4 linked regions of the Drosophila melanogaster genome follow. The protein of the gene in region 3 interacts with the protein of the main gene of each other region in a pairwise test. Each region holds a gene or a part of one and is shown on either strand. Other genes may lie near its edges.

The links.
Region 1: the proteins of CG3708 (region 3) and CG13124 interact in a two-hybrid assay, tested with the Drosophila melanogaster proteins (one large-scale study listed by BioGRID).
Region 2: the proteins of CG3708 (region 3) and scny interact in a two-hybrid assay, tested with the Drosophila melanogaster proteins (one large-scale study listed by BioGRID).
Region 4: the proteins of CG3708 (region 3) and CG7381 interact in a two-hybrid assay, tested with the Drosophila melanogaster proteins (one large-scale study listed by BioGRID).

What each region holds. Positions count from the first base shown.
Region 1 is NT_033779.5:9,902,876-9,910,181, forward strand, and holds CG13124 (uncharacterized protein), read right to left. Parts: upstream 5,759-7,306; 5' UTR 5,550-5,758; exon of another isoform or gene 5,433-5,549; intron 4,981-5,432; 5' UTR 4,733-4,980; intron 4,673-4,732; 5' UTR 4,176-4,672; intron 3,569-4,175; 5' UTR 3,299-3,568; coding exon 3,158-3,298; intron 3,097-3,157; coding exon 3,000-3,096; intron 2,417-2,999; coding exon 2,263-2,416; intron 2,209-2,262; coding exon of another isoform or gene 2,178-2,208; coding exon 1,952-2,177; intron 1,884-1,951; coding exon 1,407-1,883; intron 1,342-1,406; coding exon 1,129-1,341; intron 1,067-1,128; coding exon 842-1,066; 3' UTR 504-841; downstream 1-503. Other genes in the region: Muc30E (mucin 30E), read right to left, coding at 1-183, 240-242; Etl1, read right to left, coding at 6,364-6,990, 7,049-7,306.
Region 2 is NT_037436.4:5,767,106-5,775,034, reverse strand, and holds the start of scny (scrawny), read right to left. Parts: upstream 6,034-7,929; 5' UTR 5,433-6,033; coding exon 5,102-5,432; intron 3,871-5,101; exon of another isoform or gene 3,725-3,870; coding exon of another isoform or gene 3,664-3,724; exon of another isoform or gene 3,539-3,663; coding exon of another isoform or gene 3,418-3,538; coding exon 2,660-3,417; intron 2,603-2,659; coding exon 959-2,602; intron 622-958; coding exon of another isoform or gene 424-621; exon of another isoform or gene 22-423; intron 1-21. Other genes in the region: Ppat-Dpck (bifunctional phosphopantetheine adenylyltransferase - Dephospho-CoA kinase), read left to right, coding at 6,276-6,834, 6,902-7,899. UniProt on the Drosophila melanogaster protein: Hydrolase that deubiquitinates polyubiquitinated target proteins including imd. Required for preventing the constitutive activation of the imd/NF-kappa-B (Imd) signaling cascade under unchalleneged conditions.
Region 3 is NC_004354.4:928,298-932,016, forward strand, and holds CG3708 (uncharacterized protein), read right to left. Parts: upstream 1,802-3,719; 5' UTR 1,688-1,801; coding exon 599-1,687; 3' UTR 501-598; downstream 1-500. Other genes in the region: MED22 (mediator complex subunit 22), read left to right, coding at 1-30, 87-188, 253-470; CG3706 (uncharacterized protein), read right to left, coding at 2,731-3,719.
Region 4 is NT_033777.3:12,967,248-12,974,074, forward strand, and holds CG7381 (uncharacterized protein), read right to left. Parts: upstream 4,881-6,827; 5' UTR 4,822-4,880; coding exon 4,758-4,821; intron 3,572-4,757; coding exon 3,264-3,571; intron 3,194-3,263; coding exon 3,076-3,193; intron 3,002-3,075; coding exon 2,384-3,001; intron 2,294-2,383; coding exon 2,174-2,293; intron 2,104-2,173; coding exon 1,984-2,103; intron 1,921-1,983; coding exon 1,516-1,920; intron 1,447-1,515; coding exon 1,315-1,446; intron 1,251-1,314; coding exon 1,098-1,250; intron 1,037-1,097; coding exon 936-1,036; 3' UTR 528-935; downstream 1-527. Other genes in the region: grsm (granny smith), read right to left, coding at 1-131, 207-353.

The sequences.
Region 1 (7,306 bases), on a different chromosome or scaffold from region 3:
CGAATTATTGCCATCACCCGGACCAAATGGACAGCCCGGGAGAAAAGGATTTATCCAGCAGTAATCAGGATATTTTTCAGCCGATTCTGTAGTTGATTCGTCCCCAAACTTAATTTCACTGCCCTCCAGCGCTGCATTTGCAGAGTGATAAAGGGCAAGCCAAATAAAACAACTTAGAACGACCTATAGTTAAGGACAATATTGGTATGAGGTAACTACTAATCTTATGTTCGACTTACCATTGCAACTTGTCGAGCAAGACTCTGGATTTTTGAGCCTTAGTTGGTGCTTAAATAGGGAGCAGAATAAATGGCATAGCAGGCCGCTGATAAGGTCGTCCAGGGTCGTAGTTCAACAAAGTTCAACAGGTAAGCGCGAGTCATTATTACAAAACCAAAAAGATAAGTTTTTAAAATTTGTATGCATTTGAAGCATACTGTTTTATTGTCTTTTTGTTTGTGATGACCAATAATGCAGTGCCCCGCATAAAATAAACTTGCACCCTCGTTTGACTAGCTGTGATTTATTACACATAAATATATGGATTCACATAAATGTTGAGCCTTAGATTATAGCACAGTCCAAAGATATCGAATCCAAGAGTTCGATCTTATTTGGTACTGTGCTTGGTGTGTAGTGTGCAAGTCTCGGGTTAGTTTCTCTCTATAGCTGCTGCCGAAATAAATATTGCTTATGTCTAGGTAAGAATACAATAAGATAAATAGAACAGAAGTTTTCCAGGCCCTAAATGCAATGCGACAACAGAATCAATTGCTCATGGTGTCCTGATGCTTGCACAGTGCCCTTATCCCCGCCATGTCCCCAGCTCCAGATCTCGTTCCTAATTGTTAGTGTGCGTGTAGTAAAGAACCGTATTGCCTGGTAGCTGCCAGTGGGAGGCCTTCAGCTCGATGAGTTGGAGAAGAGTGCGCCGAATGGAGGCCGCAGATTCGCCGGCATTCAAAAAGGCATCGCGAACCAGACTCATGAGTAACTCCAGTTGCTGGGGCAACTGCTGCTCCATGTCCTGGCCAATACAGGTCAAAACATAAAACAAGCACTCAATCTGAAAGTTATGAATAGTAATCACATGTATTATTCCAACCACTTGATCAATCAAAAACGTACCTCTGAAAGTGATCTAATGGGTGGACGCACGCAATCCCCGCAACATTTGGAGAGCAGACTAAGCAGTACCAGTGGCGGAGGAGTGCCCTCGTGGTGGGTGCGTAGCTGGAGCTGCCGACGTTTCAGCTGACAAAACATTTCCGTAAGGAAGGCCATAAAGGCAGTGAATCGGACACGTGATGGCGACTTCATGCCCTGGATGGCAAACAACAGCTGCATGCGGGGTAAAAGATTTTTAAATATGAAATGATCATGGAAATTTATGCTGAATTGCCTACCTTCTCACGCTCCTGGTACCACTGACGGCATGTGTTGAGGAGCGCCTCGAGAAACGTTTCCTTCTGCTCCCGGGCAATGATGTTCAGACACAGTCGTGATATTGGCAGAGCAAAACGGCGACTCTCCACCGCGCGTTTGATGAACTGCGATGTCAGTTCCATGAGACAGCGAGAGTTCAGTTTATTGGGATCCTCCAGGGCCGTGTCAATAAGCGCCTGGATCTCTGGCGTGAACTGTCCTATGTCGGCCACCTCGTTGCCCAAACCTAGTCCCAATCCGGCCATTCCACGAGTAAGGGCATCCGCCGACGACAACGACTTGGAGCGTTGCAGTGCATTTCCATTCATGTAAGGATCTACTCCATTAATATTCGCCTGATAAGGCTGAGCATAGTTGTTGTTTAGTTGACCAAACTGATTATGCGAAGCCACTTTGTGACCTCGGGGCTCAGGTGCAAACTTTACACGATTTGTTGTCTGGAATTTAGGTGTTTATTTATTGAAATATTGTTTTTTTTTACCAATATTTTTAAATTAGAGCTCACGTGAAGTATATTTCCACTGGATGGCGAGTTCATTAGCGGCAGCTGACCGCTGAGGGCACCGGTATTGATTGGATACGTCACCAGGATCGACCGGTGGTTGGCCTTCAAGCCCGGCATGTTGCCGAGGGAGTGTCCGGCCTGGCGGCGATTCACGTTTCCGTACGGACCCAAACCCGGTGCAACTCCCACTCCGGGTCCATTGGTGAGCGGAAGTATTAGCGACGAACTGGAAGAATGTTGTAGACTGTAGTTTAGCTCTGCAAGGAGACGGGAAGAGGGGTAAACAATGGAATTAAAAGACTTTGCATTACCGGTTGCCGAGTGCCTCGGCCGGTGCCCCGGAGCTGGTTGTCATTGTGAACTCCTGGGCATTGACGTTCAGCTTGTTGGCGACACCACCGATAGCACCATTCGGACCATCACCACCGACACCACCGGCTGGAGCGGCTAGCTCTCCGCGCACATCTGAGACAGAGTCAAGTGGGGATTATTGTTGGGGAAGGGTCGGTATACCCAAGAGTGTATGTGATGATGTTGGGGGGTAGGACAACATTGTGTGGAGGGACGGAATGTACAGGGTATGAGACAGAGATATGAAAAGAATCAAAAGAAAAATGTGGTCTCAGTAAGTATTAATTGGAACTGATAAGCTGGCAGCAAAGAATAGAGCATCTTAAGCTGGGCTGGCTGAAGTACATATGTGACTATTGACATTTAATATTTACATTTTTAAATATGCTCAATCTCACTTTTTAAGGACTAAGCTGGAAAAAAAACGGAAATAGTCCCTATAAAATATGCCTATAATAAATATCGTTATATGTACATGTATGTTTTTGATTATTCAGTACCTTTCTCGTCCAAATGCATATATCTACACTTGATGTGTTTGTATTTCTAAGCCACCACTAAAATAATACCGATTAAATATCCTCGAAATATAAAAATTCTCTATTATATTGAGTTCTTTAACTTCTTTAGCACCGAGCACCCTGCCAAGCACCCAAGCGAATTAGAGAATTTATAACGAATGACTAAAACAACTCACTGGGAGGCCTGTAGATATCCATGGCTGGTTTGCCCCTCATCTGTCCCGTCTGATTGCCAGGTACGTTGAAAGCCAGACTTCGCCGTTTGTTGATATTCTGAATGAACAAACAATTATATAAATATGGCTGCTAATCGACATCGATATGGTGTACCCACCTGTTGATTTGAGGTGCGCACAAAGCTGCGTTCGCGGGAGATAACGCCGGGCTGAAATTCCGGTGATTTGCGCACCTTCCGCGTATCATTCTGTTGGCCATTCATGCTGGCCTGGGCCAGTAGTTCCACCTTTTCGGCCATCCTGCGATTTTTGCGCGAGTACTGCTTCTGCTCTATTTGGGTAAAACCTAATTGAAGATGAAAGCCTAATCTTTGGTAGATTATCCTCCGGTTAATCGATTCACAACTGGGATTCCGTCGAATAAACGTCTAAATGTGTGGCTTCAGTATTTGAGTAAATTTGTACATATCACAATAGTTGGTTTCCTTTCCTCCTTTATCGAGTTGAGTTCTCTTCTTAATACGATGTTGAGGGATATCTTCCCCTTTTGCAGATTCAGATTGCCGGGTCTGGAATACAATGAAAATTAATTATATACTTCAGCATATCGCATTATATTATTGTCAACATATATCAAGTAAGATACACAAAAACTCTTTAACCCACATGCGAGAGGGAGGCGCAAACTACTTGATCTTGTCGAGCAACCAACCGGCTTTATGGCCGAGCGTAGGAGTTGCATCTGGTTTGGAACCTCTGGCTAGAGCACTTCATCTCCGAACATGACATCAGCCCCCGAGTAATTCTTATTCTGCGGCCCACAAGAAGTCCGAAGTGAGTCTCCGCGAAAGATACATACGAAAGATACATTGTACAGTCAGGCCTCTCTACCATCTATTATCACAAAATGTGGCTTGAATAAATCTTTGACTCTTCTTACTTATATGTACCATCCACTTATATCAATAAAACAATGAACTTGTCAAAATGTGGTAATTAACGAACTTAGAGAATCTTACATAGGTTAACTGCCCTGTGAGAGTGACTACTATCATAGCAATGTGAACTTGCCTCGCTAATTGCTCTACACTTCCCATTCTCAGATTGCCAAACAGAGTGCTCGGAATAAGCTAGGCTGGTATTATGAATCAGCGTCGGATGGACGGATATACTCACCTTTTAGTGCAAAAATATTTCCTTCAAATTGTTTCGTTGTTGCTGCTGCTGTTGCTGCTTGAGCTTTTGTTTATCTCTGTCTATAGTGTATATATAGATGGGTTTGTTTGTGCGTTGTTGCTATTCGTCGATTCGATTGTTGCTTGGTGCCGCAGCTTAGTTGTTCGTATAAAGATATTTATCTACTTCGTAGATACGCTCTTTCGTGTCTCGTTTAATCATGCTTGGCATGCGCCAAGTCAAGCCGTAAACAGTGTCAGAAATAATTAATATTTCGAAGCGTCCCTCCACGCCCAAATAGTCCGCATATGGGGTAATACACTAGATGGTTATGGATTGCGGGCCTCTAGACACAGATACAGATGCAGGCAGATACAGCGGCAAATGCAAAAAAAGGCACAGATACGCATACGCATACGCACTCACACAAACGCACTGTGATCACAATTGATTTTAGTGCCTATTGTTGTTGCTTTTGCTCGGATGACTGGTGGCTGCTGTGCGAGCGAGAGGGCGAGATGAGTGATATGAGCGGGTGGCTCGTTAAGTATACGCACCGTTGGTATCGTCTATTTTTGGTTTGTCGCTTTGTGCTGCTTGTTCTCGGCTCGTTGTCTGCTCGTCGTCAATTATTACCGATTCCGTTTTGGTTTCTTAATTTTTGTTCGCGTTGTTGTGTTCGTTCGTTTTTCTTTTTATTGTGATTTTTCTCTCATTTAATGCAGATCGCTCGCTATTTATGTATATAATATAGTTATTGTTCGGATTACTCTCACACGTACACATACAAGCGGTCACTACACGCATACAGGCGCGGCCAAAATGAGGGGATTATTAATTGTTATTTATATTTTCCTATACTACTCTTCATGTTTAGCCTGCACGCGCTGTTTGTTTTCACCCGACTTGTGCGCCGTATTCTTTGGCAATTGCCAAAAACTGCTCACATGTGCCGCCGCATCTATATTTATAGTATATGACAGCGCTGCGAATGATGACTGTATCGCAGCACTATGTAGATACATCTATAAACCTATATGCAGTTGGCGTTGCTTCCGTTTCCGTTGGTCAAAAACAATAATATCAGCGGGCTGGCAGAAAGACAAAATAAAAAAAAGAACAGACTATTTCAAATTATTGGCCCGATTTATTTAGCGTTTTAGTCGCCGCCGCGGCACAATATGATTTCCGCTCGCAAACAGTTTGTCTATTTTTAAATAGAATTCAAGAAAGTATTCGGGGAGGAAACGTATGTACTTATGCATGAATCACATAATCCCGATTCGTAAGAGCAAAATATAAAGGATCGGGGATGTAATTGGATTTAAACACATTTAACTACGGGACAATGGAACCTTGGAATTTTGGTTTTACTTTAGGTTTCCATGGGTTCGTTGCTGTCGATCGAGACACTATATCTGCGGGGTATATCTATTTATCGATGTACGCCGTATTATGTGAGCATGTATGTATATTCGCACGTATGTATGTATATGGATGTGAGTAACGCTGCCGGCTGCTACACTGGGCGCAGGCTTTAACTTAAAAATTAAATCATCGGCGCGAGCGATCAGTTGAAGACTAAAGACTTGATGAATCGCCGCGCCAGCCGAAAGCTCTTCATTACAGTTGTGCTCTCTGGAAAGCGATTCTCCGCTTCTCTTTGCACCACACAACCAAAAGAATCTCGTGGGAAAATGCGAGAGCGATCCGTTTAGGGTTGTCGAGCGGCTCGAACTATAGAGCAAATATGTAGAAATAAATGAACATGATCGCATTCGTACACAAAATGATCTTTATCCTTATAACAATAGTTTCAATTCGATACATAAACAGAAATTACAGAAATGAAAACTAATCATGATGACAAATCAATAAAACAAGAATATTAACTTGTCTGCCTTGGTTTATCGTGGAAATGTTGCTGTTACTAATGAAGAAAAACTAATGTCGCCTCAACGGTGAAAAATTACTAACTCGATTTATGATCCACTTTTGGCATACCATACACCAAATCTCTCCTTGCATACAAGTTTAAAAAATATACAAATACAATATTGTTAGAATAATTCAAACGATGTTAACAGGATTTGACAGCGGTAGGACGATTAGACCAAGTTGATCAAATGCTCGCGCAGAATAAATACGGAGGTGGGGACAAGGACGAGAACGAGGACAACGAGAATGCCTATTTGGCGGGCGAGGCTATGGAGTTGTTTAGTGAATTGTTTAGCTGCTCCTCCTGATCCTTGTCCAAGCCAAGGGCTGTGGTCAACAGCTTGACCACACATCGCTGCTCGTGCACCTCGCCCTTCTCGTTGGAAGTAATGTCCTTTTCTAGTTTTAGCTTCTCTTCGGCGGCCATCAGGATGCCCTCCTCGATGGTACTCTCGGAAATGAGACGGTAAATGGTCACCGGACGCTGCTGTCCCATGCGATGACACCGATCCTCGGCCTGTTTATCGTTGTACGGGTTGAAGTCGATATCGTGAATGACACAGGTGTCGGCAGCCGTCAGGTTGATGCCAACGCCACCGGCTTTGGTGGAGAGTAGGAACACAAAGATGCTATCGTCCCCATTGAAGTCGGTGATCAAATCCTGGCGGACATTTACGGCGGTCGCCCCGTCCAGGCGACAGAAACCAAACTTTCGTATTCGCAGATACTCCTCCACAATGTCCAGCATCATGGTGAACTGGCTGAAAAGCAACACACGGTGTCCTTCTGCCTTCAGTTTTGGAAGCAACGTATCCAGGTAGAGGAATTTTCCAGAATCGCATATCAAATTATCGGGTATTTTCACGTCGTAAAACTCCTGAAAGATGCACAAATTTAGTCATTGTCATTGGACAACCTCTTTGATAGTCACTTACATGCTTGTTCATCATCTGATAGACCTGAAAGTCTGACATAACGGCTAGCTCTTCAAAGATGTATTGCTCGTTGGTCTTTTTAAAGGAACTGGCATTAGCCAGGCGCTTAGAGAATCCACGTAGATTGGCGTCGGTGAAGTAGTGACGCATCAGCAACGGATGGTTTGCAATGCGGCGCATCTCCATCATGATCGCTATGCCGGCCCTTTCGCTGCTGCTGCACACCTCGCCCTTGTTATTGGAATAATAATCGACCAG
Region 2 (7,929 bases), on a different chromosome or scaffold from region 3:
CGAAATGGGTGAGTGGCTTACGGTTCACGGTTCACTGTAACAGGTTATCAGGCAAAACGGTAACGGCACAACGGTTGAATTTATGGCGTATCAGGCGGTTGAAATGAAAGAAACAACGTGCCGGCCAGCAGTCAAATCATAAGCTTCATTGCACGGGAAAACGGATGCGGAGTCATCGGGTGAATTACCTAGGCTCCGGTGCAGTCACTCTCTCCCGCAATGACTTTTGCAACTCTCTCTACACTTTTCACGCTCGCTGAACGGAGGACGCGTTGTGGTGACCGCCCGGTTGGGAACGGATACCAGCAACGCAGCCATCACAGACTATTCGGGGTAATCGTATTATTTGTATTTGTTTTGTGTGGTATGTGCTTAGTGGGGAAAAAGAAGAAGCGTCGCCTCTGCCGCCGACGCTTCTACCTCCTACCGGCCGTCCGTGAGACGATCCGGATCGGGTGCGTCAGCGGTCGTGTCTGTTACCGCCACTGCAATTACGACCACATCTTTACTGTCACTGCCACTAGTCACTGCCGCGTCGACTGCAACCGAGCCCTCGACGATATCGCTGCCTTCCACACTGCCGTGACCAGCTATCCGTTTCGCACAAACCAACTCAAAAGTCTAAATGAATGGGGATAATGTGGAAACAAATGCAAATTACAAACAAGTTCGTTTAGTAAATCAACTCAATCGAATTGCATTTTATGCAACAGCTAAGCGAACGACATAGAAAACAAAAAAGAAGACCAAAGAGCCAGTTAAATAATAAAGAATTAGTTAAACCCGCAAAAAGAGAACCAATTTATGTACATTTTCATCGTATTAAGCCCGCAACTTGTTATTTTTGAAGCACAGACCCAAAGAAAGTGTTAACCATGCATAGATTTAGTATCTACGTTAGTGACATGGTCACAAGGGATAGATAAGCGCTTCAAGGTGAATGCCTCTCTAAACTCACCTCCTTTTCGAGCTCCGCGGGCTTGCCATTCCAACTGAGCACGGGGGAGCCGTATCCACGATACGATTGCTTCAGCAGCTCATTGATGGTGCTCCCATTCGAGGTGGCATTGCTCTGGTAGCCATTGCCCACCCTTGGCTGCTGGTGCGACTTGAGCGCACTGCCGTTGAGCAACTTTTGGCGCTTGGCGCCTGGCGTTGCGGGCGAGTCCGTGGAGGGCTTGCTACTCGAGAAGGGATTGCGATGGTTCTTGTTCGGCGTCGGAATTTTCACCGGCGATCCCTCCACCACCACGACGTCAACATCATCTTCGATGGCATCGACCTCATCGTTACGCGTAACTTTCCAGATACCCGTTTTCGATTTGATGACCGCTGGCGAGGGTGGCGTCTTTGGCGATGGTGGTGCTTTGCTTTGAGACTGTGATTGCTTCTGTGGGTGCCAGCCATTCGTTAGCTGAATGCTGGGCTCCTCCTCATCGTCGTCCTCATCACTGTCTGCGGACTTTTTTAGGCTCTTGAATATCTCGTCTATGGCATCAGTCTTTTGTTTGCTGTTGTTAACGTGAACCGATGACGAGGCTGAGCCGTTGGTGTGGCTGCCATTGGTCTTACTGTGACCATTGGTCTGGCCAGACTCTTGGTCCGACTCGCTAGAATCCTCCCCACTTGGACGCTTGCGGGGATTCGGTAGAGGCGCCTCCTCCTCCTCAGATGCTGATTCGTAGGGCACAAGACTTTTCAGTGGCGTTTTGACGGGAGTCTTTACTTGAATCTTTACAGGAGACTTTGCCTTAGGCTCCGTATGATTCTCCGTCATATTGGGCATGCTCGGTAGCTGGGCTGTCGTTGGTCTGGGCTTCATCTCATCCTCGATGTCTTCATCATCCGAGGAAATTGGCAGATATTGTTGCTGGTTTATTGATTTATGGTTGCTGCTGCTGTTGCTGCTTGGGGAGGAACTTTTGTTACCATTTGCAGTGGGAGCTGAAGTAGCTTCGCCTTTAGCGTGAGCGCCAACCAGTGGAGGCTTCGCAGTGTCCTGAAACTTTCCGGTACCCAGCTGGAGTCCGTTCTGTGGACTTTGCTGGTTTTGTTGCTTGAACTGGATGGCGGTTTTCTGGGCATTTCCATTAGTGTAACCGTTTGCTCCACCCGCCGGCAGTTGAGGACCAATGAAACGCGTTGGTGAAGGCGAAGACACAGTCGCCGCCGGCACTGGCGTTGTGCTGTGTCCGTTGGTCAAACGCACTCCATTGGGCCTGTTGGCCGCCGGACTGGCAGCCTGTGAGAGGTCCAGTTCGAAAAACATTATATAGGCATTTGTGTTGCACACACTGTGCATTGCGATTGGCCGCACGTAGCTGTCGTCGAAGTTGTAAAAGCTGCCCGTATCCGTGGAGCCAATGGCCGTGTAGTGACCGCAGTGCTGGGACGCCCCCAAGTGAGTGACCATCGACACCAGGCGATAGGTGAGCGGTTGAGCCTGAGCTGCTTGTGAACGGGCTGCGTATTTGCTCAAATCTATGCGTGACTTGAAGGAAATCTGCTTGGTCAGTTTGTTGCCGATCATGGAGAATCGCTTCAGCTGTATACAAAGCGTGATTGGGGCACGCTCCAAAGAGAATTGCTTTGTGGCAGATACCTGCAAGCGATACGTTTAAATAAAATGAACTACAGAACAAAGGTCACAAAGACCTACCTTCTTCTTGCATCCCTCGCACTTGTAGCCCATATCCTCTAGCCGTTCGCGAGAAAAGTGTCCCTCGAAAGCATCCTCCAAGGAGTCTGCCTTGCGGATGTCGAGCAACAGATCCTGGAAGTGCTGAAACGTAATGGACACATGGTTGCAGCTCAGACAGCGCACCTCGCTGCGCAGATAGCCGCCAAAGATCTGTCCCAGCGGCGTGGTCTCCTTAACCAACTGATCCAGCTCTTTGTAGTTACGAAACCGCATCAAATACGCCCGCTCCATGGCCTCGACCAGGAAGCGCAGGAACTCGTGCGCATCCTCTTGGCGACCAACGACCATGTGTTTGCAGATCTGCTTTAGCTTCGAGTAGATGAGGAAGGGTCTGACGGCCGACTGATTGCTTTGGGTGGCCAAAAGTGTTTTGGTCATGGCGCAAATGATGCAACCGCTGCCAGGTTCGGCCACATTGCAGTCAGCCAGATGCGCCTGCTCCGAAACGAGCCAATTGGCCAGGGCGGGTATGTGCAGGAGCGCCTGAAGCGTTGAGTTGAGGTAGCAGGTGTTGCCCACATTGATCATGCCCGTGCCCACCTGCCATTTGCGCTCCGACTGCTTCCAGCCAATGCGTATGTTCTCCCGCGGATAGAGGACCCTCTTCGGCTTGGGCAGCTCATTGGGATTGCTTGTCGGATGCTGATGATTGTGGTGGTTGATGTGGTGCGACTGATTGTTCGGGTGCTCCGCTTGCTTGCGGGCGCCGTTATTGTCTGCAAAGGTAAAGAGGACGGTAGACAGTTTAAGCACGTGCCACAGGAGAAGGCAGCAGGGAGACAGGAACAGCTTGTAGAGCAGCCACAGGGCGAACCCGTCCACCATTATCACAGTCATAATGCATTTATTGGAAGAATTCCCTTCTGCAGATTAAGTCACTTGATCCGCGCTGCTATGAAATATAAATAAAACGAGCAGTGCTCGCTGTGGAAACTGCTGACACACAATCGCGCTTCCATCACCTGTTCGCAGTGTTGGAAAGGGTACACATTTGTTGTACCTAGGCACCGGACTGTGCAGCATTAAGATAGCTATTCTATTGAACAAAGAAACTTGAACACAAAGTATACGCCGAAAAAAATTTCCAGTACTAGATTTTGAAATACAATTCTTTGAACATCGTTACAGAATGTGATATCACCAGATTTTATCTGAAAATATTTTCACAGCATCGTAATTTCATATGTACCCTGAATATGTATCTTGCAGTTTTGTTTGGGAAAGTGTACCAATCGAGGTACTTATCCTGGTACACATATCTCAGATATTACCCAGCACTATTGTATCTTTGATAACAGCTAGCGTGTGAGCGGGATGGCGACTGGCAGAAGAAGAAATTTAAACTGATAACAGCAAGCGAATGAGAGGGATGGCGAGTGGTGAAGCAGTCCAAGTGTCTGCTGCCGACGAATACAGTGGTCTCGTTCTGGCGTAGGGGGTTGGGGCGGCAGTGTTGCCAACTGAATTTTTGGCGCGACCTAACAGTGGTTGTTGTAGGCCCAATGCTCCCCCCTTTTATTGTCTTTGTAACTGTGTTCGAGGCATTGACCAGGCCAAAAAAAAGAAAAGAAAAGAAAAGTCGAAACATCGTGTAACAGCTCCTGGTGCTGAGCTTTGTGTCCACTTCCTGCTCTGTGTGAATCACTTCTGCGAGTCTGGCCTTTGTTTGTGCTCTTTTTATCACGCAAAAGCAGATTGCGGCGCATTTACCGCATCTAAAAAAATAAAGCAAAGCCAATAAAAGCACCGCTGGGGCTGGCCATGTGCGGGGGAAAGAGACGGAACTACGGAGGGGAGCCCTCGTGCTTTTTGTCTTTTTTTCCTTCTTTCATTTGCCGCTGGAAATACAGCACGTTTTTTTCCGCCACAACTTCTGTGAATCAGAAGTTTGGAAGAGGCGGCTCTGTTGTTGCTGCTGCTGCTGTCACTTTTCCAGCTTACTCTTTACGGCGTTGTACTTGTTTTGCTTTTTCCGCGTATTCCTTTGCATTCTGTTTACACGTACACCACCCAAAAACGCCGTCACACACGGACACACACGCACGCACTCACATACAGAAGCGCCTAAAAAGTACAGGTATGCTGCGCTGCCGACGTCGACTGCACTGCCGACAAAATGCAGGCGGAGCAATAAAAAAAATATGTTTGCGGAAAAACATCACACGTGATTTGTGGAGGGATATTCCCAAAAGATTTGGCAAAAACAAACGGGACGATACATAAATACATTTAAGTATATATACATCTTATATATATAATATGAAGATATAGCACATGGAAAATTGCGCAAAAATTGCCACACAAAGAAGAAACACAGACGAAGGCGCAGACGGAAAAAGCCACTTTTGCAAGCAACTTTTGGATTTTACATTTTGTTGTATCTTTACACAGTGTACTCACCATGTCCATTTGCGCCCACAAGTTTGCCTGTATTGTTTTTGCCACTAAAGCCATTGATGGCGCCTGGATTTCCCGGCTTGATGACAATATATTTGGACTTGAGGTTCTCCAGCACCGATTCGTGGTAGTTGGGCACCTCCTCGTATTCGATTTTGGCCATCAGGATGCGTTTGGCATTGGCCACGATGTGATTTTGCAGGCTGCCGTTGGTGTCCTCGCCGCTCTTGGCCTGGTCAGTCGACGAGCCGGCGGAGGAGTTGCCGCCAAGGGATTCGCGCAGCGCTGCGTTGACGACATTCGCCGTTTCGCATACGGCCATCGAAACGGGCATGGCGATGCTCCGGCTGGGGATTTGCGGTGGAATTTTGAACGGGTGTGAGGGGCGTGGTGTGGCGTGTGTTGGTGGTTTTCGCCACCCAGTTAGCTAATGCACATGGGCGTGCGATCCAAAGCAGATACTAGAGATCCTTCTGCACAGCCCACACGTCCTTCAAAACTCTCCTACTGCTCTACGCTCACTTTTCTCCTCGCCCCTCTCTCGAACACTTCTTGTTTCACACACCGACTGCGACACCGACACACGCACACTAACGCACTCGGGAGCACTCTTCTTTTTCTGGCTTTTTCGCGCTGCGATCTCGATCTGTTGGCCTACTGAGCATTACGATTAAGAAACGTTCGCTCACAAATTGATCTGTTTCAATTTCGTGCGCGGCCAGGCATTTTAGAACGAAAAGTCTGCTTTCGAAAATAATGGCAATTCCTTCCCTCGTGTTTCTTCCGACTGCGGATTCTCTTTTCGCTTCATTTTCGTCATTTGGGGATGCCAACTCGCGAGTGGCCAAGTGACGCGATAGGCCTCTCGAAATGTCCTAAAGCATTTCACGATATTTACAAAAATGTATTTCGATGTTTTCTTAACAATAAAAAATTGGTTTAAATTTAATAAGACATTTGTTACCTTGAATATGTAAGCAATATCTTATTGAAAGGCTTGCAGCGACATTTTTTATTTATGCCTACTATTCAAGTTATAAATTTAATTTTTATAACGGTATTTTTACACCTTATCAGCACATATCGATAAGTGTGATTGGGAACGACAACCCATCGGCACAATGTTGATGCAATTGTTGAGCTAGCCTTCATAATTAGTCGCAATCAATCGAGCAGAATGGCTTCATCCACAGGTCTCCTGGTGGTGTCCAACATCAAGCACCTTGGCAAATCCCTGCGAGCCATCGAGAAGTACGTGAATTCACTGTACATCCACCTAAATGTGGCGGGGTCAACGTCCACGACGTCACCAGTTCCACCGCCTCCGGTTTGGGGTCGTCTAATCTCGCAGCTGTACGCCAACAGCAGCAGCTATGTGGGCAAGCAGTTGGACCTTCGCGTCCTTGTCTCTCCCCTACGACCAGGTGCCAATGGATCCCTGAAGTTGCGCCAGCCCGTCGACCTAATCTTCTCGGATGCACATCATCCGGAGCTGTGCGACAGGCTTCGCGCGGATCTTAACATCAGCAAGCCAACAATCTTCCTGGATGACTCGGTCATCTCGGATTTAAGTGCCCAGCAGGATGACACCCAGCCGCCTAAGGTGTATCCCTCGGTTGTCCTGGGCGGAACATTCGATCGCATCCATCTGGGACACAAGATATTCCTCACCCAGGCTGTACTGCGCACCTGCAAGCGTTTGGTTGTGGGCGTAACCACCTCCGCCATGACGAAGGGTAAGACGGGCATGAATTGGCAAAATAAAACGCTTATCTTAACGACCATTCTTATCGCTGTCTGCAGGAAAGACGCTGCCGGACTTGATTTTGCCCGTGGAAGAGCGCATCGCCCGGCTAAGGGAGTTCCTGGTGGACATAGATGATACGCTGCAGTACGAAATTGTGCCCATCGATGATCCCTTTGGTCCCACGCAAGTGGATCCTGACCTGGACATGATTGTGGTCAGTGCGGAGACGTTGCGAGGAGGGCAGAAGGTCAACGAGGTACGCTCCGCTAAGCAACTGCGCGAGCTGGAGATCTTTGTGATTGACATTGTTGAAAGCAACGTGCATGATGGCATCCACGAGACCAAGGTCAGCTCGAGTAACACACGCATCGATCTGCTGGGAACCCGCTGGAGAAGGCCGGAGCCACGACCACAGCTCCCGCCGCGCCCTTACATTATTGGACTCACTGGCGGCATCGCATCTGGCAAGAGCAAGATGGGCGAGAGATTGGCCAACATGGGCGCCCACGTGATCGACTGCGATAAGGTGGCGCACGATGTTTACGAACCTGGTCAGTTGTGCTACACCCGAATTGTGCAGCACTTCGGACAGGGTATTGTTTCAGACGATGGTCGCATCGATCGGTCCAAGCTGGGACCCTTGGTGTTTGCCGATCCCAAGCAGTTGCAAGCACTCAACGGCATTGTCTGGCCGGAACTTATTGCGGAGGTTAACAGGCGGCTGGATGCACTGCGTTCCCAGGCGGACGTGCCGCGTGTGGTGGTCCTGGAGGCAGCGGTGCTGCTGCGAGCGGGCTGGGAGACCAATTGCCATGAGGTGTGGTCCATGATTGTGCCACCGGATGAGGCTGTGCGGCGGATTATTGAGCGCAACAAGTTGAGCGAAGTGGAGGCCCAAAAGCGACTGGCCAGTCAGGTGCCCAATTCTGAGATCGTGGCCAAGTCGCATGTGATATTCAGTTCGCAATGGGATCACGAATTCACCCAGAAACAGGCGGAGCGTGCGTGGAAAATGCTTACCAAGGAACTGGACTCTTACCAGAGCAGCCTTTAACCCGATGGATATTTAGATTATCTTGTTGAT
Region 3 (3,719 bases):
ACGTTCGCAGCATGCTGGAGAATTTTGAAGGTAAGTGCGGCTCAGTTGCTCCGAGCAATAGATTGTAATACCGTGTTCTCCTCCAGAAATACTCAAGCTGGCGCGCCGTGAGAGCCACAGCCAGATTTCGAAGACCACGCAGTGCGAACAGGATGCCCTGGAAATGCAGGTCCGCGCGGCCAACATGGGTGAGTAAATCCACTCCCTGGGAACCAGATTCGAGCCATTTCCTTCATGCATTCCGCTTTATAGTCCGTGCCGGCGAGTCTCTGATGAAGCTGGTGGCCGACCTAAAACAGTACCTAATCCTCAACGACTTTCACTCGGTCAACGAGGCCATCACAAACAATTCGCAGCTGTTCAGGAACACACAGAGCGAGTGCGACAAGAAGCTGATGAAACTTAGGGACGAAATGGCCATGGACTTGTACGACCTGGAGGAGGAGTACTACACCAGCATTTTTAAGTAGCGCTAGGAGGGGAAGGGGTTCACCTTATTTGTGATGAACTGGCTTTGGCCGAACTGTAGAATTTAATAAGAAATCATTACCACATTCACTTGTAAATTTTGTTTAGCAAACAGCTAGTCGCGTCGCACTCACAAGACCTGCTCCTGTTCCGCCTCCGAGGACAAGGAGCGACTGTCCGGAGAGGCCGCGCTCAGGCTGTCAACTAGGTCGCCCGTGTAAAAGAGCACCGCCTTCGGGACGATTTGGGTGCGTAGCAGGAAGCCCACTTCGAAATCGTTGCCAAGGATCAGCTTGGTCTTTTCATCCGCGAGCGACAGGTCCAAGGCCTGCGGCGGAGCAAAGAAGCGAAAGAAGGACTCCCGAGGCATGACCTTGGTGACTCGGTGTGCTCTGTTCCTTCGCCTGCTTTCCACCGTTTGGAGAGTGAGATTGGAGCCATCGCGCCAGTGGATGTGGCAGCCTTCGCAACGAACTATTTCGGGCCCTTCGAACAGAAAGGGATACTCCGGGTCCGCCGAGTGCTGCAGAAAGTAGCGCTTCGTGAGCAGCAGCGAGGAATCGTGCAGGAAGCTATTGGGCCGAAACTGAAAGATGACCATGTAGCTGTCCTGGTCGTAAGCCAGGCGCACATCCATTAGGCTCTCCAGAAGCGGCTCGTCGTGATCCTGGACCAACTCCGAGAGCAGGGGCACGTTCTGGAAAACTGTCAGCCAAAAGCGTGGAACACCCAGCGTAGTCGGCGAAACCGGAGCCAGTTTTTGCCTCAGCTGTCGCAGCTCCTCGTTGTTCCCGAAGTCCAGGTACAGAGCATCCTGCGGGTCCTCGGGCCAGGTCTTCTCCGTTTGGATCGGTGGCTCCACCGAACCCTCCAAAATATCCCGCCTCGCATCGAAGAGCGCGCAGCTCTGGCCGTAGAAACGTCGCTCCAGCTCGTAGACTTCCCGGAAGAACTGCTCCGAAATGCGTACCTGTTGCAGCTGATTGTGCCGCAGTGCCCGTATGCGGTTCTGCACGGGCTCCGCCAGCTGGCCGATCATGTGCCGCAGAAAGGCCTTCCGGCTGCGGGCGGGAAGGTCCGCCGGACTCAAAGCCGGCTCTGTGGACTCCTGGGTATATGTGCCCAGGGAGCGCAAGGACCCGCTGATGCCGTCTGCCCTCGACTCCGTGTGGCTGTCTTCCTGGGTAACCCCCTCCGCGCTGTCAGCCATCCCAATCATTGTGCAATTCGGTGCAATAACTTCGAAATTTGGCAACATATATGTATATAAATCTACAAGTATATTCCAGCTCTGCGACTGGGCACTTGGAAACTACTATGCTAGATCAAAGCTGTTCCTTGATTTCCACAGAAACCGGCCTACTACTGGGAACGAAAATTCGGCTGATGATTCCTTGGATTTGCCCAGAAGCAATCGCATTTTTGATTACAATAACTGCGTAATCTAACAAATAATTTCGCCTACGAGGAATACCACTTCAGAGTTACGTGCATAATTAATGAAGGCGAATTCCAGAAACAGTGCATGATTTGCCGAATTCCGGGCAAATCGGTGGCCAATATCTGTCGGCGGTTGCGTTATCGGAGCTACCTGCTCATGAGCCCAGATATGGGCTGTGGACTGGACACTGAAGGGAGGGTCATGCCCGGCACTTATCGGCCCACCATAAGCTGACATTGCGGCAGGTCGGAACCGGACGGCAGCATAATGCTCCATTCAGATCCCGAGCATGGTTTATTTTGTTGGATTGAAGCTATCTGCCCCGCCGCTCGCCTCTTATCTGCGACACCTGGGCACTTGGGCCCAGTCTTGGTGCCTGGTCTTGGGTTTTATTGGCCCGACGGAGCGATAAGTGGGGCCCGTTGTCTTTTGGGTGCCATAAACCGATGGCCCGAATCGCCATTATTTATTGGGAGAAAAACCGAAGTAGCTGTCCAATCTAATCCGTTCGTCTGTCGCATGCTAATTTATGGGCGACTAATCCTCACGGGGGGTCCAATTCCTCCACCAGCGATTCGGTAATCTTCCTCATCGACCCGAGTCCACCAGATTGCAGCTGCACCGGATGGCCTCCAGTGGATATTGCTGTTGGATTGTTGGTTAACTGAATTAGTTTGGACTTACCGATGACATCAGCGCGGCCAATGACTTCAGAATCTCGAATGTCATTCAAACAAAATCTCTTTATTTTGATAGGATGGGTCTCCCCCATACTTTTACATGCTATCTTAAACTGAAAACAAAAACAATTCGTCGGCGTCCTAGAAGATGAAGTCTTCGTCCTGGCCCTCCTCTTCCAGCAACGAGAGGCTTCTCTCGAAGCGCTTGATGTCCTGGTACCAGCCGGGGTCCCCGGACGATATATCCTCCGGCCTGCCGCCCTTGTGGCGGTACAGGAACTCGGCGTGGCCCTGGCCGGGAACTCCGTTGACCGTGCAGGCCACAAACTGGTTGAACACCTTAGACTCCCAGTCGCCGCCGACGTAGCGCAGCGCGGAGGCCTCCACCTGGATTTGCACGAGGTACTCCCGCTCCTCGGTGCGCACAATGAAATTCTGGTGCTGCGGCGGCGTTCCCTTTTCGCCGTACGAGTACAGCTCGAAGTTGCTCCCGGTCAGCGGCTGATACTGCCGCTCGGGGCTGCACACGTAGCCCACCTTCAGGGAGGACAGGAAGAAGGACGGCTGACTGAGGCTGCCCACCACCATGCTGCTGCCATCGTCCATAAAGAGGGCAAAGTACACGTACCGGTTGATGGAGCTTAGGCAGCGCTCGGTGCCGAAGCTGTGGTCCCGGAAGCCCACCATTTTCAGCGCCAGCTCCTTGCCATCGAGCGTGACCTGGCCGGCCAGTTCTCCGTTCTGTTCGTAGTGGGTGCGCTTCTCTACGATGTGGTTGACGCTGCGCAGCAGGCTGTAGAACTTTTCGTTCCAGGCCTCTCTGGCTATGGAGTCGGCTATCAGGGCGCTGCTCAGATCTCTGTTGTAGTCGAAGTGCTCAGCGGAGGAGCTTTCGAAACGGAGGTCCAAGTCCACGGCTACGTCCTGCACGTCCGGCCCTTGAGTTTTCAGCAGTCCGGAGTACTTGAGCCGCCACACACGCATAGATGCCTCCTGGTAGACGTGGAAGCCTCCACCCTGGAACGCGTTGCTCTCCGCTCCATCCGCGGTGGTGAAGTATACCATATCGGGCAGATTCGGCGAACTGAACAGGCCGCTTTCGGGAAGCCACAGGTACAGTGCCGCCTTGA
Region 4 (6,827 bases), on a different chromosome or scaffold from region 3:
CAGGCCGGAGTCGTGGGCTTTCGGGAACACTTGGGCACTATTTTCTTGCGGCCGCATCCCATATGTTTGAGTTTCTCCGATTGACGCCGATGACGCGAAGTGGAGCTTTTGCTGAGACACCGTTTCTGGTACTGCAGGGTATTAACGAAGGGCAGAAGATAAAGTTCGCCGGTCAGGGGGAAAGTGTGTAATCCCTAGGAACTTACTTTCGATCGATACTGATTCTTTTCTCGCGAACTCAATGCATTCCAGTACCCCGCTCCCTGACGCAGTGACTCCTCCATTTGGAGGTGCGGGGATTTAAGATGTATAGCCACCGCGTAACTTAAAAAGCCGTTTGGATACGGTGCCATCTCTACTTATACTTTTCAACTAACGTACTGAAATTTAGGATGCTAAACTAAGAATTACGTACAAAACATTCGAGCTTGAAAAATTGAAAGGTACAAATTTGAGTTGAGTTGCTGTTGCTAACTGATAGAAGTGAAATCTCAAAACTACTTGTTTAATAATAATTGCCAGTTTCTGGATTTGATACACAACTCTTCGTTGGCCTTAGTTTATTATGATGTATATATTACAATTTGGTTAAAAACTGTTCGCTTAGCCTAGCAACAAGCGGTTTAACTTCAAAACTTACAGATAATTTGTCATTACACTTAGCCGTATTAGATAAGCGAGAGTCGTTCCGTTCCGAGGACCCTTTCTCCAAATTTATATTGCTTCGACTCCTAAATATCAACTTACGAACTAATTGATTTATATTCACGTTGCGCATGGACCTGCATCCATGCCAGTAACTTGGCTAATACTGGCCACTCCCGCCGATCCCCAAATCACCCCGATCCCCCCAAGGTCCTTGGCCAACTCCTCCCTCGATTATCCTCGCCATTCCCCAAACACGCAGGTGAAAGGATTTAGGTTTTGGTTTGGTTCTAGTAGTAGGCCTGCTTTATGGCCGCACTGGTGATAAGGAAAGCGGAGCCAATCAGCATGAAGGTGATGATTTTGAGAGCACTTGGTCTACCGGAAGAATCTGCGAAAAGCGTGACATTCATAGATCATCCTTACTCAATTGGTTTTGCAAGGACACTTACTTTTCTTATTGGGCATCACGCGAATGCATTGATTCTGATTGGCGTTCGCCGAGTAGCCCAGCTTGCACTGGCACACGGAGTTGCGGCACTCGACATTCTCGGGATCCTTTTCTACATAGCACTCGGTGGCCTTGGTGCACGACTCTCCCAGCTCTGCAAGATTGCAACATATTAGAATTATTACAAATAATTAAAGAAAGCTTAGCGACTCAATTACCTCGCTTCGTCTCACAGACTCCGTTCTTAGCATGCTGCTCATCGTTGCATCCACACTTGCCCTCCGAATTGCAGCTCGCCAGGAGCGGCTTGCACTGCTCATCCTCGACGCACTCGTCCTCCAGCTCCTCGGCTATAATGAAATGTAATGTGGGGCAGGGCATAATTTTGCTGCTTTGCATTTCAGCTTCTGAGTACTAACCCTCTTTTAGGCACTCATCCTTAAAGTGCACGTATCCCTTTCGGCACTGGCAGGTGCGCGACTGATCCTCCTCGTCCTTCTCCTGGCATTCGGTGTTCTCAGGTATGCAGTCATCCTCCACCGAGCAGTCGGCACCGATGCCACGCATACACTGATCGTCCTTCTCAAAGTAGTTGTCCGCACAAACGCACACGCGATTGGAGCAGACGGAGTGATCCACAGGACAGCCATCGTTCGACTCACACTCGGCTCCCAGGCCACGTTTGTATTCGCAGAGCTGCTTGATGGCATCGTAGAGAGCGTACTCCTCGCAGGTGCACCTCCTCGGAATCTCCGGGTGGCAATAGGAGGCGCCAAATGGACTGCATTGGCTGTTCGAGGTGCAGGATAAGTGGTATTGAATGGCTGTTTTGATGGAAAAGGATATATCTTAAGTGCGATTCAGCAGCTAGCGTTGGAACCACCTACGTTTTCTGCAATTGCGCAGATCCCGCTCGTAGAAATAATTCTTTTGGCAATTGCAAGTTTTGGTCAACTGATCGAACTCGTACTCGCACTCATCCGTGCTCTCCGCAATTTCCCCCAGTTCTAAAGAATTTTCATTTCAGTTAATTTCATTAATAGAAGAATTAAATTGGGGGAAACCCAGTTTACTCACCGGCAAAACATTTTCCATTGCGGGCATAGTAACCCTGGCGACATAGGCAAATATTCTTGGAACAAATCGAGTGCGGCAGACCCGAGCATGTCTTTCCATTATCCGTGCAGCTGCTGCCATCTAAATGGGAAAAAAAATAGTTGAAATATATTTAAGATTGCCTAAGCATTGAGAGACTTCATTTTTTTGGGGGCATTCTTGGATACTCACACTTCTTCTCATCGGCATCGTCGTCATCGCGGCTGGAACCCAGCGTGGAGTAGGTCTTTATATCCTCGTCATCGAATCGGAAGAGGGCGGGCAAGCGGCGTCTTTGGCCATGGGCGTGTCTCTGGTTGCGGCTGGAGTTGCGCCTGCTACTGGTGCTCGTGGAGGCGGTGGCTGTCGTTGTGGTGGTGGCGGTGGCCGCATTGCGCACACTTCGTCCCACCTCCCTCAGCTCGTACTTCTCGATGCTCGTCTGGACGGCAATCTCGTGGGATCGGGGCGAGATGAGCGGCTCGGTGTCGCCATTGGTGAGCTGGGCGAAGGACACCTGGGCGGCGGCATCGCTGTGAGTGGGCGGGGGGGCGTGTACAAAGGCCTTGGTTAGCTGCCTTCGGCTACTGAAAGCGGTCTCCTGTTCCGGATCGGCAGTCTCGGTGATCGCCTCGGCTGTGGTTGAATCATCATCCTCTGGCGAGCCCGGATTGGTGGTCTCCGTTTCCTCGGTCTCGCCACCCGGAGTCGTTGTGATCTCGTCCACATAGGTGCATACTAGGCCAACGCACTCGACACCGGCGCCCAGTTCATCACAGTCCGCGTTAACGACGCAGGCATCGTTTTCTTCTGAAAATCAGGCATATATAGAGCCATATAGAGCCATATATACCATTTACAATAACTTCTCGACTAACACATACCCATTGATTTGCGACGGCAGATGTTTCCATATCTGTTATAATAGCCATTTGCACAGCCGCACACGTTTTGCTGACAACTTACAGACGCACGATCGTAGCCAAAGTAGCAGTCCAAGTCCTGTTTAAAATCGAAAAATCATGCGAAATTATAAAGGATATGTGCACGGTTGATTGGGCCGTGGTCTCACCGTTTCGCAGGACTCGCCGAGTCCGTTCAGTGGGCGACACTTGCCACGCAGATAGTTCTGGCCATCGGCGCAATCGCAGACCCCGGCTTTACAACTGGCCCCCGTTGGCATAAGATTGCACTGGACGCTGTCGTCGCACTTTTCACCAATGAGCGACGTGGCCAGGCATTGGGTGAAGTTCTCCGCGAGCACCGTATCGAATGTGGAGCACTCGCACTGGCCGCTGGCAAAATCGCAGCTAGTACCGTCAGCTGTGCAGTCCGCCTCGGTTTCACATGGCCAAAATACGGCCAACACGCCGCCGTCGCCTGAAATTGGTTAAGAAATGGGTTAGGACAGCAGCCTGTTTGGTTGGTTAAAAATTAACGTATCCACGGTGCCTGTGACCACACATTCGGATGTGTCGGGGCGACCCACTTTCGGCTGACTCTCAATTATTCAAAACGGGCTCCAGTTCACACACTTGATTAAGGAGATTTTCATTAACTTTCGATGGGTTGGGACAATTTTCCTAATCACCTATGTACCATAGAATCCAATCAGCAAAATCCTTAAAATATTATAGAGACTAGTTCAAAGAACTCACTAAAAACTGGAAGTGAAAACTAGATTTATTATGTTCTATAACATATGTATATTGGTGGATATTCAATATCTTCTTGTCTCGTTTTTAAAAATAAAATTTGTTACATTTTCTGTCCCAGCTTTAAACTGATTATCATTTACATTTGAAAATCGCCCTACTAAACCTCTTCCTTGATCCGATAAATTTGTAATTGGCTAAACATCCTGGTCAATCTAGGCAGTGCCACGCCCACTTATCTACCTGTCCAGCTGATTATTACCCTTACAAAAGGCAACTCTACTACCCTTTACTATAAGCAAAAATTCCGAGCGTCGCGACGTGCAAAGCTTCTTTTGGCACGCAACGTGTCGGGGCCGCAATTTATTACGTATACGCCAACGACTTCCGGATGAGGTTGCGGCATCGAAAAAATTTCCATATAAAACAGTATCAACGCGGCAACAAACAATGCGAACGCGAAAAATTGTAATAACAATAACAATGCCACCGAAAAGAAAAAAAAAAGTGAACTTCGCTGGACGCTTTGCCACTTTAATTTCCATTTTCCGTGGCCGGCAAAACAATTTCTCAAACCGCAAAGGACCTTGGGACCTGGACATTCGTGAGAGTCCTTTCCACCGGGGGATGGCGTTGCTCGTTGAGTGGTGGGGTCAATGGGGCAAAGTACTTGACCTTGATTGCGTTTGCATTAATTACTTGTGGTTCTTTAATGTTATGACTGTCGTAGGCCCACATTTATTTGTCCACTAATTTGGCCAACTGCCCTTTCGATGGCCTCACACCCGATTAAACGTGGCTTTAATTCAATTACCGGAAATCGCTCGCCACATTGGGCCACATGATTTCCCTCGACTTTTTTTTTCATTTCGCTCTCGCTATTTATTATTATTTTTTTCCTTTTCTGTTACCTTGAGGACTGAGAACCGCACAACAAAGGACGCCGAGCGTTAGAAACCATTGGAAGTTTGACATTTTCCCAAGCTGAGAGCTACTTTCCCGAACTGCTGGCTAATATGGCCAAAAGGCAACTGACCATTTCGAGTAGGGATTGGTCTATATCGAGTGCTCGATTTCGGTTAATCTTATCTCTATGTCGGCCATACAAAAAAAAAACACTCATACATCGATGATTAACCGGTGGCAATCGGCGGTTTTCCCTGATAATCCTAATTTGAATTATCGCAATCTGCAGTTTCAGTTAGCCCAAATGTCACCGGAATTGGTTGCCAGGGCTGCAGCCACCGTGATTACCCACTTAGTTGGTTCTCCGGCCATTTAGAGTGGTATCGGTGGTATCAAGAGGGCGCTTATCAGCGTCCAACACCTGCTTTGGACACCTGTTCTTCGGTCTAATGGTAGTAGTAAAACGTTAACCCCATCTGGTCTTTTGGCAAGAGTTGAGCTGATAACGCTGAGACTGCAGTATGGCTATTTTGTTACTAAATAAAATAGTTAATCAATGAATCACTCATTCAGATAGCTCATTATGTTTACTTTTTGTCTCATTTAATTGACAATCAAGGCTGTCATTGTAATTGTTTGTTAAATTTTTAAGTATTCCTTTTTTTCATACACTTATATTTAACTAAGTATCTAGTATACATCACTTTTACATATATACAGTTTTCTCAGCAGAAAGGCTGACTATTTTCTAAAATGCTTAAAAAGCTTCGACTATTTCATACCCATCTACCAAGTCTTACTTCTTGAAGGGCAACTACACGTGTGCCCAAATTTGGTTACTATCTTCTGAGCGTGCGCCTCGTAGTTTTCGGATTTCCCCCCGGTTGACGGCTATGTAAATTACTAATTGTAGTGTATTTATAATTCAATATGAATTATGTTTTAAAAATAGCAAAACGCCGTCGGCGACGAGTGTCGCAAGAGGCGACCTTGAAAGTGTCCACAAATGAAATGGAAAGCAATCGATGTGAAAGGGGTTAATTTCGGGGCTAATTTAACGCGGCCTGTCGGTTAATCAGGCCGCATTAATCATTGCAAGCTGCAATGTATTAGCTTTGAATCATCCGAAATGGTAACTCCTTCAGATTTTCACCGTAATGAATTGGCCTTTAAGGGCTGTGATGGTGCGTAAGTCTCTATTTGTTTGTTGCTTTCTCCTGACCGCGTTTCAATTTTCCCGCTAGCTGGCATTGTTATTGTTTGTCGCTTTTCCCTTCTGCCTGTGTGTGTTTCTGTTTTTGAGAGACATAACGTAAAAGGACATTTTGTGGCTATAAAAATGCTTTGCCACGCACGCGATGAAGTGAAAAGAGCAGCGACAGGTGCAAGAGAAATTATATCCCTTCCACCCCAAACTACACACACCATACCGTTTTTTTTTTTTATATACATTTCGGATATGGATTTGTATATGTATATGGCCCAAAGTTATTCAGTACAAGTGCAAGGACGCACTTTGAAATTATCGACTTTGTAGTGCCCCATTTAAGTTCTGACTGGGATTTACCGCTACTCACATTTGGCTTAAAGGGACGCTCCTTTCGCTGTTGATGGCTTAATCCTCGTCGCCTGGTTTCTATATGGCACACACACACACACAATGCACTCTCCTTTTTGTTTTCGCTTATCACTGTTAAGTGGTGTTTTTTTAGGCCATCAAAGGATCACTGAATAATTGGAAAGTATCATTGATTAGAAATGCTGCCAGCTTTGGGCCAACATCTCGAGTCCATCTTTAATCAACTAATGCAGACGTCGCCGGTGGTGTCGACAAATATACTAATACTAATAATAAACTAAATTAGTGGATTTCAAGAACACATGCCGCTGCGGGGCTCGTTAGTTAGCTGGGAATGGATATGGGGATGGTTATGGTTATGGGAGTCGAATTGGGAATGAGTTCCACATTCGATATGTAATAAATGACGCCCTATTAATGGCTATGTATTGGTTAGCTGGTCAGTGACTTCGGTGTGGTTATGCATATAATGGATTGAAATACGTTAAGCGTTAGC